Saccharomyces cerevisiae S288C: one gene and its partners. Changing the gene in region 4 together with the main gene of any one other region gives a genetic interaction. Each region holds a gene or a part of one and is shown on either strand. Other genes may lie near its edges. The genes, in order: GRC3, DAL2, YGR050C and SMA1.

Region 1 (4,533 bases), on a different chromosome or scaffold from region 4:
TCATTTGTCTTCAGAATAGCGGCAATACCACCATCTCCGCATACCACGTCCATATCAGTGAAATCGGCAGTGTCGCTTTGCAAACAGAGGGCGCTCTCCTCGTCTTTAGTCCAATTTTTTGTTTTCTTGTCAAATTTGTATATCGTCAGCGAATTGCTCTCGTTTGAGTATGCAATCATATTCTTTCCAGAGTCGTCAATGTCATAGGTAACGGTGCCCGTCTTGAATTCTGGGATTGTGTAAGTTGGATACGCTAGCGTGCCGACATCCTTTCTTAGGTCAAAGCAAACCACAGTTTGGTCACACTCTACTACCATCCAGTACCCATTGTCTGCAAATTTAACCTCTTTTATCTTGGCTTCTTCATCTACGGGGAATCTAGAGCTTGCCTGGTCAGGTGATGACAAGTTGTAAACGTCTAATATACCGTCCGGAGAGTAAAGGGCTAATAATAATGAATCCTTATGTAGGACACCGCTGCTGTACTCAACATCTGATTTAGCAGAATGAACAATATACTGGGAATCATCCTCGTAGGATTGAAATCCTATGGTTCCTCTATTATCCGCCCAGATGAAGTACTCTGTGTTGACCTCGTTGTGACCATACATATATATAATCTCATTGGCGGAATCTACCTCTATTTCTCTGAGGACTTTGTTTGTTTTTGAGTCCAATATAGTTATTTGGTTACCTGGATATAGTAGTAGCAAACGATTACAAGGCCCTCTGGAAATAATAGCTGGATGCTCTCCCCCGGTACGGGGATTTGGTGTAGTTATTGTGGTAATCGTTTTCGAATCTTTTAATTGGGTAAAATGTAAAGCACCATCCTCACAGCGACACATGCACACCCATTTATCATAGTACATAGATTTGTTAAGCTCTTTATATGGGAATGTTTTGATGTTACGGGAGTAATTTTGTGCCTGTAATAGCTCCAAATTTTTTAAAATCGGCCATTTGGGTGCTTTGAGCTTGCCCCTCGCTACAAAGTCTCTAGAAGATTGTAACAGCCCTTGTAAAAATTCTTCTCTCGTAATAGCTACCGCTTGCTGTGAGGATTTGGGTAAATCCTTCGAATCTTCGTTTTTTTCCATCAATAGTTGCGCAGCGACCAACTTTGCAGCATCTCTTTCGTACATTACAGTCGACAGTTTTTTCGTTAAACTATCTAGAGTTGATCGTAACTTAAAGTTTTCGAGCATTATAGCATCCCATTCATTCTGTAAACTTGTCAACAGATTCGGAATCGAATAATTCGCTTTTAACGTAGCAGAGTTTGTAGACTCTGTTAGTGAGGCTTGTTGCGCACTAGGTACGATTTCCACTATTTCTTCGATGCTTAAGGGCTCATTTGTTATCGGATCATTCCCCGTATCTTTAACATACTGTTCAAGGAGCGACTTTTCAAAAATAGTCCTGGATTTAGGTGATAGAACTGGCCTTCTAGGAACTTTCCCACTAATAGCACAAAGCATTGTTCCCTAGTTGGCTTTCTTGGCTATGTTTTGGTCTTTAATATTTCTTGGAAAGTTTGCATCTTTCTAAAATTGCCCTTACGAATTTTTCACCGCTGCTACCCGAAAAAGTACGAAATTTATCAACATGAAATTTATTCCTGCCAAGTCATCGAGTGCTCTGCGCCTAAGGCTTAGGTTGCATTTAAGTTGTCTTAATTCACGCTTATAGTGCAGGTAGTATAGGTTCCCCACTCCTGATCTTTCCCTTCTGAAATAAGGAAAGACTGCAGTTTAGTTTGGCAGAGAGAAGAAGATAATCATTTCTATTATATTCTACCGCTATGGTGATAGATTCCAAACAGGATCTACCTCAATATACCAAAGATTCAGGTTCAGAATCGGACTCAGACTCAAGTAATAATTTCATTGTGGAATCTCCGTCAATTCCATCTTCAAAAAGTGCAACCGTAGTTCTCAATAGTGAAGAGTATGAGGACGACGAAGGTGATGACTTGAACGGGCTGGATGCTGAATTGATCGATAATATAACGTATGAAGGAGATGAAGATGAAACTATGTTTGTGGGGTTGAAAGAAAAACAGAAGTTACATTTATCTGGTGTTTTCCGGCTGCAAGTGGTGAAAGGAGGTATTGTCTACAACAATGTACACTATAACGCTTCGAGAGAAATTTTAACCTTCTGGCACCCGTTATCACAGTCCATACCTACTATAGATTTTTCGCACTTTGCAGGCTGGCAAGACACTTTTTTTATGCCGAGAAACAACAGGTTTAAAATTAGAGATGAAGAATTCAAATCATTTCCATGTGTTCTTCGCGTTTTTAATTCTAATCATACGGGCTTGTTAGAAGCAGGTCATTTATATCGGGATGTTAATTATCTATGGAAACCTAAAGAACCTTACTTTCCATTAAACGAGAGAACAACGTATCATTTATTACATGAGTCAGACCGAATTCAATCTTTATCCGTGCCGGGATATTGGTCAACTCCGTTAGAGAAGTTATATTTGAGTCACAAGAACGCTGCGTATGATACAAGAATCATGGTGATTGGTGGTAAAAACTCTGGGAAGTCTACATTCTTGAGGCTTTTATTGGAAAAATTTACGCAAGATATACGAGATTCTACTACGAGCCAGGAAGAATTGGTATACCTGGATTTAGATCCTGGTCAACCTGAATACTCACTACCTGATTCAATATCCCTGAATAAGATTCTTTCCAGCCCTATTTCTCTCGGACAACATCTCTGCCAAGGTTCAAATTTCCAAACTTTGTTACAGTTCTACGCTGGCTCCTCTTCCCCGCAGGACGAGCCCACATCATACCTGAACTGCGCTGATAAACTTATAGACCATTTGGAAGAGCAAGCCTTCTTCGGAACGTCATTGCTTAATCTACCTGGGTGGATAAAAGGATTCGGGATGCAGATTTTAAATCATATAATAAGGAAATATAAGCCCACTCACTTATTGTTTTTGGAAACAGCTAATTCGAAAAGACACCTGGATGAACTAACAATTCCACAGAGTTTTTCCACATCACTACGAGATGCATATGCACCTGAAGTTGTTCGCGTTCCAGCCCATAGTCTGAACCACACCTTATCTTCTAGGTTCCATGCATCACAACTGAGAACATTCAAAATACTGGCACTGTTTCATAAAATAACTCAATTTGATTATGATTTTGCGCCTCTTTTAAAATCTGCACCTTTGCAAATTTCATATGGCAAAGGTAAAAGCGGTATTAAAGGCATTCAATTTCCTATGGAATTCCAGGATCTGAATCCTCAAGATATCAAGTCCGCATTGGAAGGTACTGTCATTGGGATATATACATATTCTGGAGAAGACTCACTAGAGGTGAAATCCTTGAATACCTTTCCCATCCTACAATCGTGTACTTCTTCTTCTAAAAATTTCATAACTCTGGGGCTGATACACTCTATTGACACCTCCCAGCAAATAATGAACATTTACGTGCCACCTTGCCATACCCAGATTTTAGATAAACAACCTGAGGATGCTCAATGGATAATAGTAAGAAATAAGACGGAAACTCCTTTTTGTGACTTTCTTCCATCCCCCCGCACAATTACATGGGATGATAATATACAAATACCGTTCGCAACTTTTGAAAGAAGGAAAAAATTGGAACATGTGTGGAAAGTTCGTAAGAACGTCATGAGACGTGGCCAATTCATGAAAAGATAGAAAGAAAAGGTAATCGTACATTTTTTAATAGTGAAAGATAGAGGATACACAAAAATCATGCAAAGTTTTATATATTTGTTATGTATACTCATATTCCTTCAATATCTAAGTCATACTAACTTCTAGGGACTTTACCAAAATATTATTTATAAATTTATTGTTTCATTTCTTCCGCATCCTTCATCTCCTCCGTTAAACCCATTTTCTTATTTAATCTATCATATTTCAGTCTATCTTTATCGCTCACAGAGGGTTTAATCTTTCTTAATGCACTTCGGAAGTCAGACATGGTCACAATAATTTCTTCGCCAGATACGCCAACCGATAGATCCTCAAATTCCTTGTCTAAGTCATTATCAAGAACAGATTGTATTTCTTCGCTCTGAAAAAACTTCCTTTTTAGAGCCAAGACTGAACTCTCCCTGACTAAAGCAGCCAAGTCAGCGCCTGAAAAATTGTTGCACTTCTCATTTCTGATAATTTCTTCAAAATCAACATCGCTACTCAGAGGTGTTCCGTGTGATTTGGTCAAAGTTTTGATAATATCTAGTTTTTCCTCAGTATTAGGTAACTCAATAAACAAACTCTTATCCAATCTGCCCGGTCTTAACATAGCAGGATCAATCATATCAGGTCTATTAGTGGCGCCAATCACAAAAATTCCCCTTCTATCGTTCAGCCCATCTAATTCCGTTAACAAAGTGTTGACGACTCTTGAGGAGGATTCGGACAAAGAAGTATCTCTTCTTGGCACCAAAGCGTCCAGTTCATCAAAAAATATAACACACGGTACAGACGCCCTTGCTCTAGTAAAAACTTGTCTGATGGAC
Region 2 (3,837 bases), on a different chromosome or scaffold from region 4:
TGGAGGCCTGTCTTCCCCTCTTAATTGATGACCAGGAGTCGGTATATTACTTTCAGAAATTCAACGGGATATTAATTGCCTGTTTTTCAGATCATCCTTTGGTAGCAAAGATAAAGGATAGAGCTGCTAAAGAAAAAGCAGATGTTTCTATTGTTGGGTTATTAGATAGTAGTATTAATTATTGCAATTTGGTTGGAAAGAAGTTCTCTATTATTACTTCAAATAAAGAATGGATTCCAATATTGAATAACTCTGTGGAATCGAAATTCTTGACAGGGAATACAGTTAACAAAAATTTATGGAAAGGTACGGTATCTACTGATTTACAGGTCCTCGACCTACATAGTCCAGAAAATTTCCAGCAGATAGCAGAAATTATATATCGCGAAAATATTAAAAAGCTTGATTCAGACATTGTAATATTAGGTTGTGCAGGATTCTCGGGTTTGCAAAATAAACTGGCGAAAACATTCCAAAGGGATGGCACGCTGTTTCTGGACACGATTGAGATCGGTTTACAGATTCTAATCACTATGATAAGATTTGTCAACTCACAAAAATAAATAGAAATATGATTGTTTTTTATAGAGTGTAAATTTTAATGTTTTGTCGTGAAGAAGAAGAAGTAAATAAAGTAGCGTGGGGATAGCGAAATGAAAACATTCAATTATCAAAACAAAAACTTTTAACTACATTTATACCTTTACTTTTAAAGTGCCAAGAGTGCATTGGTTTAAAATATACAGTAGTTAAGTATTTATCAGTACCCCCAAACTCTTATTCTTTTCACTCCTCCATCTGGAATAATCGTTAATTTGACATGGGAGACTCTTATACTCTTACGTATTTCATACACATGTTCTTTGTCAGGCCCCGTCTTTGACTTACCAACTAGCTCTACCCATGTTCCTTCACCAGTGTTCTCACTTGATTCTGACTCCTTCAAGCAACCTTCCACGGTAATGAACTGAGGGAAGTTCCCCCTGAAGTGTGCCGTATCAACAATAATCTTCTCAATGAAAGAAGACTCCCTGCCCAGTTGAATTACCGCCCAATCAGTATGACCTGGTTGTCTCGATCTTTTGGTTTCCCAGCCGTCCGACATATCATGACCTCGACCTGGCAGTAGCAAATTATCAACTGAACCGAAGTGTTGGTCAGAATACTTTAAAGCGACAGCACCATTGCAAACATAAGCCAAGTCAATTATATGATCCTTCGTTTTGAGTTCTGGAGGAACAACTCTTCCGTATAATCTAAATCTGGCGATTCCTCCATCGGGGTACATCTTCAGCTTGATGTGAGTAAACCTTTCTTTAGTAAGGCCGTTGCCTCTAACGAAAAGATGCCTTTGCGAAGGACCACACTCAAATTTCTCAACAATCTCAACCCAACGCGAGTCATCTTCCACTATATTACCTTCTTCGCCCTCGTCATAGAGCGCCTCTATTGATACAAATGGTGCATGATTACCATTGAAAAACGCAGTGTCAATTTCACCACCAATAATATGGGCAGCAGCGACTCCCATCTTGATGATAACCCAATCGTATTCCATCTCATTATGTCTTCGTGTTTCCCAGCCGTCGTACCATGCGCCTGAATGAACAAATCTGGTAGGATCCCTTATAGGAGCAGTTGGCTGAATTAAATTTTCAGCAGAAGCAAACCATTCATCTGAAAAAGAAACCACTTGACCACCTAACTTAGATCCTATAACATCTACTGCTTTGTTTTTTGAAATGATTATTGACTTAAATTCTGCCTCATCTGCCAAACTAAAAAACTTCATTTTTCTAAAGAAGAGACCGATTAGATACAATTAATTGTTTGATCGGCTTCATAATTTCCCCATATCATAGCAAAATGCACTTCCATTCCTTTATAGCATTTGATCTCAGAAAATGTGTCTATAATTTAGACTTTTCTTCCAGCTGAATTTCATTGTGGTTCCTGTGTTTTTATCTTATCGCTAATTCGAGTCAAAGATAAGATGTCGGAATTATCCGGAGTTCTGATAGGCTCAAACAAGCGCAAGTTTGGTAGGTTGATGACGGTTTAGCTAATCATCAGTACATTATTCAGACGGGAATGCATGTATGAAGCTGATAAATTTGATTAAGAAAGGTACATAAAAATACACAGAACGAATATTAAGGTGTTTTGAAGAAATTATCAATTCTCCTGATCACTACTGGTAAGAGAATAAATTGGGATTTTTATTTAGTAAACTATCTTTTCCTCGGTGCCATCATAGATACTGACTGTGTCATCGCAGAGGTCATCCCTACGTAACTCATTCTTCCAATCTTGCTCGAAGTCCTCAACATAAGCCCATCTTTGGAACCATCCTTTCTCTGTCAGAAAATTGGTTACGGGAGTACCAGGGACAGGAAAAAAGTAACATAATATGAGGTATATCACCGCACTAATAAAGAAACCTACCGGATAACCTAAATAGTATAACCTCATTGCACCCTCTGAAACCGTAATTTTTGGAGCTCCAACATCACCTATAAAACCTGGTAAATTTGGAGCGATACCGCAAATATACGCAACAAAGGCCCTCCAATTGGCACCAAATTTGTTTCCAAACATGTAAAAGGAACCCTTCTGTGCCAGGAATAAATGTGTTAATTTCACATATCCTCTTCTTACTACGAAATAATCCGCGCAAATGACACCAGCAATACTGGAAAGGAAAATTGCATAAGCACCCAAAGCGCTGGTGAACTTACTTGAACTGGCCATTAAGTTCCATGGACAGATACATAGAGCCATTGCCACACAGAATAAAGAACCTCTTCTAATATTAATATATCTTGGAAACAAAGCCGTCATATCAGCACCACATGCCAGAGAGTTGGCAGAAATGTTTGTACCCAGTTGAGCTAAGGCAAATACAAAAGAAATCAAGAACACACCAGCCCTAGTACCTCTGGTGTAAGTGGTCTCCAAAAATTGACCAAGTACATCCAGTGGTGACCAATAGTTAACCCCATATAAGTGATAACCGGCCGCAGTAACAATGATACCGATCAAACATGTTATGGCGAAGAACAATGGGATGGCAACCAATTGTGGCCACAAAGACGCTTGAGGATTTTTGGCAAATCTACCGAAGTCAGGGGCGTTGATAATCAAAGCGGCAAAGTTAGCAACACAGGCCATTAGGGATCTAACGAATATCCATGAAAATTCGGAACCATGAGGTGAATAATCATTCAGCGTCCCCAACTCAATTTTACCGTGCGATTTCTTCAAAGCCCAGATTAAAAATCCAAAGGCTGCGAAGGGGATCAAAGCTGCTTTTACTGTGAATAAATGCCTGATTTTATGAGGAGCCACTAGGACAAATGGTATACTGACCACCCAAAATATAAAGAAACACATGAATTCAAAAGTAGTGCTATTTGGAGAACCAAAATGGTTTGGGATTCTATCTTCCAGATTCTTGCCAAAAATAGATTTTAGCATCAGTGCCACGGGCGTTGCACCTAACCAGGCTTGCACGGCATACCATACTATAGCCATCACGACACGATTTATAATCGGCCACATAGAAAAGAATATACCAAATGAGGCCCTAACAGTAATAGGGAAAGATAAGTGATATGCGGAACCAAATCTCGAGTTCAATACTACGAAGATACCTGCAAAAGTGTAGCCGATCCAAACTGTAAGCCAACATTGCCACCAATTCAGACCTAGTTGTAGACCTGTACCAGCTATTTGCCATGTGTTAATATTGAAACAGTCTGCCAGCCAGAAATATAAGTAATTGAACCAGGACCAACACCTTCTTTCTTCTTCAACCGGTTTCAAGTCTCTGTTATA
Region 3 (2,927 bases), on a different chromosome or scaffold from region 4:
TAACCACAGGAGAGCCTTGGTACTACGTATTTCCTGTAAATGAATGCAAATGGATCTTTTTCAAACTCATCGAAATTTTTTAGATGCTGAACCTTCTTTGATTTGGAGACTCTAAAAAGGCAATCGCCGAACATCAGATAAAATATGGTGGCACCCAATGACCAATAGTCAGCTTGGTATGTGTTATACAATGGAGCCGATGACCGATCGAAATTCTTCTTAAAACAAGAGTTACTAACGCGGCCAGAGAAAGTTTCTGGCGCCCTGTAATTATCGGTACCAATCTGGAAGTCGTTAGATTTAGGGGATTGGATAGCGTGACCCCAGTCTGCCAACTTGATGTCACCATTTATCGTTAGCAAAATATTTTCTGGTTTGATATCACGATGAGCAATACCCAAGCTGTGAGCAAAGCTGATTGCTGAGCACAGTTGTTTGATTATCTTTTGCATATCAATTTGAATCAAAGATGGAGACGACGGGCTACCTTGACTCTTAGCAATATCTAGAAAGTCATAAAGATCACCACATTCGCAGTATTCTAGCACCATGATGTAGTACGAGTCATCCGTGTAAAAGTCGAGCATCGAACAGATGTTGGGGTGAGGATTACAAGAACTCAAAATCTTCATTACATCATACTCGTTCTTCATGTTGGCTTCTGAAGTTTTGTATTTAGGAGTAATCTTTAAAGCGACGTAGCGGTTATGTGTAGTACTCCATGCTTTATAAACTGTGCTAAATGTTCCTGATTGTATAGATCTTAGTTTTGTATACATTTTTGCTTTTTATTATTCGGTATATGCTGATAATGATGTGCTTATTTAAATGATTGCGTATACGAGTGAGAATTTGATTCGGAGGGTATGAGAGTCGATCTTGAGTCCTATGTTATATGCTTTTTGTCAGTAACGGGTTATTTAATGCTAAGAATAGTTATTATAAAAGGGAAATTTTTTTGTATTAAGAATAGTCATCACTTACATGTGTATATTATATATATATATATATATGTATTGTACTCGTATTATTATTCTTTGGGGAAAGTATTAGTAGGTAGATGCAACTAAGCTCCGATTTTTCCAAAATTAAGTTGTCCCTTATTGCATGGTCCCCTTAATTATCCTTCCTTTATTGTATGTAACATGAAGCTGCATTTTTGTTCTCAGGCAGCATCATCGTTCCCTTCACCTAACCCTTCTAACTTCCTTTTACCTGTTGCAAGCTGTCTCATACCCGCGCTGAAAAGGCTGAGAACTGGGTATTGTCCCAATATTACGCTCGGCTTTTCTTTTCAAAAACTTTGTATTCCAGATACTTCCATGTGCAATTTCCCTAGTGCTCCCTGTACCAAGCCATCGGAGAGGAGATGCCTTCTAGAATTCAAAGCACGTAAGGGGTACAAAAATCGGAACGGGCCGAAGGCCGAAAAGAGACGGCCGTACGTGAGAGCACATGCAAAGTGGTGAACGGGACGTTACGGAGAATTACGGAACCTCTCAACAGAAGATGCGCCAATAGTCCTTCCGAACTAGCTCCACGGGAGGGGTATGAAGAGCAAGCTTGTTTACGCAGCCTCACCACCGCACCGAAAGACCCTCACGACAGAAATGGAGCGCCTTTAATGACGTTCGTCCGCTGCGGGCCAGAACAGCACAGTTTTGCTTCCCCGTTTCTTTTCCACTATTTCGTCACCCGCTCGAGGTGGCTCGCCCGCTCGGAGGCAAGCTGCACATTCATCGAACACGGAGAGGCACGGGCGAGAGAAAAAAAAGCCTATTGACCTAAACGGATGTCATAATGAAAAGAAGGAATCCGGTTTTCCTGGGCATGACTAAGGTAGCACGACTCAACTGGGCCAGATCGGTTGCTTCTTCCGATATACATGCATTAGATTAAGCCAAAGTAAAATCAAAAGAAAATTTAGCGGATATGAAAACCAATCTAATCTCCTCGTTTGCTTTCCGACCGCATGTAAGGTTCGGCTTTCTTGACTTCGGATATAGCTTAAAGTCGATTCTTGACGTCACTTCGCAATATCATTTCATTCCCATTAAACTGGCGTATGGACTTTGCGATCCTTTATTAATAGTTTATCCGGATCCCAGTTTTAGTTTGGCTCAAGCTGCAGGTGAAAAGAAAAAAGTCGTATTCCCTACGTATGAAGATGTTCCGAAACTACTGTTGACGTTTAAGCAGATTATGAATACGTATAGGAAGGGAAGTTTGGGACAGAGACAGAGACAGAGAGTGTACGGGCGAAATGGGAATGAATCACATTCTACGTAATTTGTCTTTGACTTTCTTAGAGATACGTATATAACTTTTTTTTCTGTGTGAAAAATAAATATTCTCTTATCCAATGTGGACAAGAGCCAAAAATACTCTGCTTTGTATATTTACTAGTTTTTTTGGCCTTTTTTTTCGCTAAACATATATATTAGTCTCGCTTAAATAATTGTGATGTTTGAAGGGAACGTGTCACGTGCTTCGTCGTTCATGCTTTGAATCCATCTAGGATACACTTACCAAAGGTAAAAATTGTTATACCGGTTACAATGCTCATGTGCAATGACATGTATGAGTGACATTTTACGCTTCTTTCGGATTCAGGTTTTAATGTTTTGGCGTTGTTCATCTTTGAGAATGGGCATGCAGCTTCCCCATCTTTGACTTCCGGGTGATGTTGGGGTAATTTTTCATCCTTTTGCTTTTCTAAATCATTTTGGTCACGTGTGCATTTTGGGGCTAGCTTGTGATTGAACAGTGATACTAAGTATAGGTAGGCTGCAGATAATGGGGCGACACCAAGTCCGCACAAAAGGTAGTTTGGTCTTTCTCCTGGTGCAGCTAGATAGTAGCTGAGTCCAAAGGCACCAGTAGCTAAACCACCTAAAACGGTGCTCCAGCATCCTAATGTGCACAAA
Region 4 (3,135 bases):
TGATGTCCGAAGTTTCCTCTCTTACTTCTTTCACCAGGGAAGGGCCCTTGTCTCAAGTTCCAATCCTATCGAGCGAAGTTTACATGACGCATATTATAAGGAATGAAAACCTATTTTTGAGCGATTTATCACATTTTTCTGCAGACCAAGAACAACAACAACAACAGCAACAACAACAACAGCAAGTCCAAGAACAAGAACAGGAACAAAAACAAGAACAAATACAAAACCAGGAACAAGCACAACAGCAGCAAGAAGAGGAAGATGCTGAACCGGAGAGTGATATTCCATCAACGTATAATAGTGACGGAAGTATGGAAAAGTATGAATACACTAACAACCACAATAATAGTACCTTTTTAACTTCCTCAATGGACAGTACACCTTACCAATCTGATATCGATGACGTTAGTGCTTCCAAAGATTGCAAATTCCAACAAGATACATTAAGAAATAGGCTATTATGCTTACAAATGAATTTTTCTACTTTAACAGACGGTCCAAACGAGAAATGGTTACCAGATTATTGAGCAGGTCTCACCTTTATACTCACTGTATTATCTTATGTTCTAATTCGGTAATAGCTTCACCTTTTCTTTTTATCTTTGAGGTTTGTTTTTTTTCTAGTATCCTACTAGGATGGCTATAAGCAATGGCTGGAACGATTTTCATACTTTTTTTACGAACTTACGACTTTTCAGTGTCTTCTTTGATCAAAAGGAGATCACTATGGATATATATGTCCTACATAACTAATTACAATAATGATAGAATGACAGAACTTAGTCACTTTTTTTGTTTCTCAGCCCGGCGACGGCGCATTTGAATGGGTGGAAATCTTCGCTGATACCAGGTTGACAGTCTTATGATACGATTTTTTCGTCCTTTGCTTCCCCCGCAATAACCTTGCCTTTCCTCTATTTGCCGCGTTAGTAAAAGACCTTTCACAGCATCTGTAAAGTTCCTTTAATCGCATTGCAAAATACCAGGGCCTAAATGGAACTTCCTCAAACTGTCTTTCCAACCTTTCTAAGGGGTACATAAACTTTTGATATTGGATTTCCATCGATTCCCAAGGACTTCTCTTTATTGGACATTGCTTGCCTGTGACTTTTATAGGCGGCTTATAATATAGCACAAGGTCGGGCAAGTAACAAAATACAGCACTTCCTCCATTCTTATCAGGGTAGTAAGAGACTGAATCCCGAATCTCTTTTTCATTAATAACAATTTTGTTTTCTTCGATTTTCATGTTCTTGGTGGAAGAAAAAGTTTCCAACCAAGAATTGAGTTTATGTAATAATGATTCTGGGACAGGTGGCAATAAGGTAACACCCTCTCTTTTTTTCAATTCCATTTTATGATTTGCCGTTTCAGTTCTAGAAGTTTTCAAAGCAGAGTTTCGTTTGAATATTTTACCAATGGATTTTGAAAATCGTTTACCAGCACTAAATTCATGCTTGGATCCCGAATGTTGGAACAGGTGCTTAACACTCACAATTTCGGGATATTTATTAGGACCATCATTAGTACATGCCATTTCCTCTTTCCTCGCCACCAGATTTTAAGGCAGTTGATGTTTGCTTCCAAGGGAGAAAAGGAACTTATAACGGTTAAAATTAATAGAGCCTGAAGAGAATGAAGGCAGCCAAGACATTGATTAACATCCTACAATTGTAGAGCAGTCAAACGAGTTAATACCACAAATGTCAGTAATTAGTGGAACTTGTGCAAGTATCACCCGGCCAGCTTGCCAAGGCGGAAAAGTAAGTCAAAAGGCACACCTCAGCGTTTGAGTACCTGAAAAACGATGAATCGCAAATAAAACTTTAAATTATGCCTGTTATACATAAAGCCATTTATATATTTATGTATTTTATGAAAAAGATCATGAGAAAATCGCAGAACGTAATCATATCTTTTCAATGACAATAGAGGAAGCACCACCACCACCATTACAAATGGCGGCAACACCGATCTTACCTCCTTCTTGCTGTAAGATGGATAGCAGTGTAACAACCACTCTAGCACCAGAACAACCCAATGGGTGACCTAGAGCAACAGCACCACCATATACATTAACCTTAGATGGGTCTAGCTTCAAAATCTTAGTGTTCACCAAACCGACAACCGAAAAGGCTTCATTGAATTCAAAGTAATCAACAGAATTGATGTCTTCGATGCCAGCATGTTTCAAAGCCTTTGGAACTGCAAGAGATGGAGCCCATGTAAAATCAGCTGGTTGATGAGCGGCCTCACCCCAACCTTTGATAATAGCCAAAGGCTTCAAATTCTTTTCCTTCAAAACTTTTTCGGAAACCAAGATGACGGCTGCAGCACCATCGTTGATTGGAGAAGCGTTAGCGGCAGTAACAGTACCGTTTTCTTTTTGGAAAACAGTCCTTGCAGATCTCAATTTTTCAACGTGTAATCTAGCAGGTTCCTCGTCCTTCGTGACTTGAGTATCAGGCTTACCTCTAAATCCCTTAATGGTAACAGGTACAATTTCATTGTCGAATTTACCTTCCTTTTGAGATTTTTGAGATTTTTGGTAGGATTCGATGGCAAAATTGTCTTGTTGTTCTCTAGTAATATCCCAATCACGGGCACACTTTTCTGCGTGTACACCCATGGCTAGACCATCGTACGCATCGTTCAACCCATCTCTTTCGACACCATCAACAAGAACAGTTTGGCCAAATTTGGCACCCGCACGGGCTGCTGGCATGTAGTATGGTGCGTTAGTCATAGATTCACAACCACCAGCTACGACAACATCAGCATTACCACATTTGATGGATTGAGCACCCAAAATGATTGCCTTCATAGCGGATGCACAGACCTTGTTAACTGTGCTTGCAACGATATGATTACTCAAACCGGCAGCCAAAGCAACTTGTCTGGCCGGAGCTTGGCCCAAATTGGCAGAAAGAACGTTACCAAAAATAATTTCGTCAAAATCCTTGGATGCATCCAATTCTGGAACCTTAGCCAAGGCGCCTTTTAAAGCAACAGCACCCAATTCCACTGCTGTCTTGGAGGATAGAGAACCCTGGAATGAACCAATTGGGGTTCTGGCAGTCGATACAATGTAAACGTTCTGAGACATTTTGAGTACGTCTAATCTGTATAAAT

Evidence for each region.
Region 1: mutations in SMA1 (region 4) and GRC3 together harm fitness more than expected from each alone (negative genetic interaction), as found in Saccharomyces cerevisiae (one large-scale study listed by BioGRID).
Region 2: mutations in SMA1 (region 4) and DAL2 together harm fitness more than expected from each alone (negative genetic interaction), as found in Saccharomyces cerevisiae (one large-scale study listed by BioGRID).
Region 3: mutations in SMA1 (region 4) and YGR050C together harm fitness more than expected from each alone (negative genetic interaction), as found in Saccharomyces cerevisiae (one large-scale study listed by BioGRID).

What each region holds. Positions count from the first base shown.
Region 1 is NC_001144.5:66,776-71,308, forward strand, and holds GRC3 (polynucleotide 5'-hydroxyl-kinase), read left to right. Parts: upstream 1-1,804; coding exon 1,805-3,703; downstream 3,704-4,533. Other genes in the region: E3 ubiquitin-protein ligase PRP19, read right to left, coding at 1-1,481; putative AAA family ATPase RIX7, read right to left, coding at 3,858-4,533. UniProt on the Saccharomyces cerevisiae protein: Polynucleotide 5'-kinase involved in rRNA processing. Required for the efficient termination by RNA polymerase I and the processing of the IST2 pre-rRNA internal transcribed spacer localized between the 5.8S and 25S rRNAs.
Region 2 is NC_001141.2:408,762-412,598, reverse strand, and holds DAL2 (allantoicase), read right to left. Parts: upstream 1,793-3,837; coding exon 761-1,792; downstream 1-760. Other genes in the region: DCG1 (Dcg1p), read left to right, coding at 1-563; DAL4 (allantoin permease), read right to left, coding at 2,224-3,837. UniProt on the Saccharomyces cerevisiae protein: Utilization of purines as secondary nitrogen sources, when primary sources are limiting.
Region 3 is NC_001139.9:591,448-594,374, reverse strand, and holds YGR050C (uncharacterized protein), read left to right. Parts: upstream 1-1,932; coding exon 1,933-2,289; downstream 2,290-2,927. Other genes in the region: protein kinase FMP48, read right to left, coding at 1-779; SCM4 (Scm4p), read right to left, coding at 2,498-2,927.
Region 4 is NC_001148.4:498,070-501,204, reverse strand, and holds SMA1 (Sma1p), read right to left. Parts: upstream 1,541-3,135; coding exon 803-1,540; downstream 1-802. Other genes in the region: putative serine/threonine protein kinase SKS1, read left to right, coding at 1-530; ERG10 (acetyl-CoA C-acetyltransferase), read right to left, coding at 1,913-3,109. UniProt on the Saccharomyces cerevisiae protein: Involved in spore and ascus formation. Required for the efficient assembly of the precursors of the prospore membrane to a continuous prospore membrane.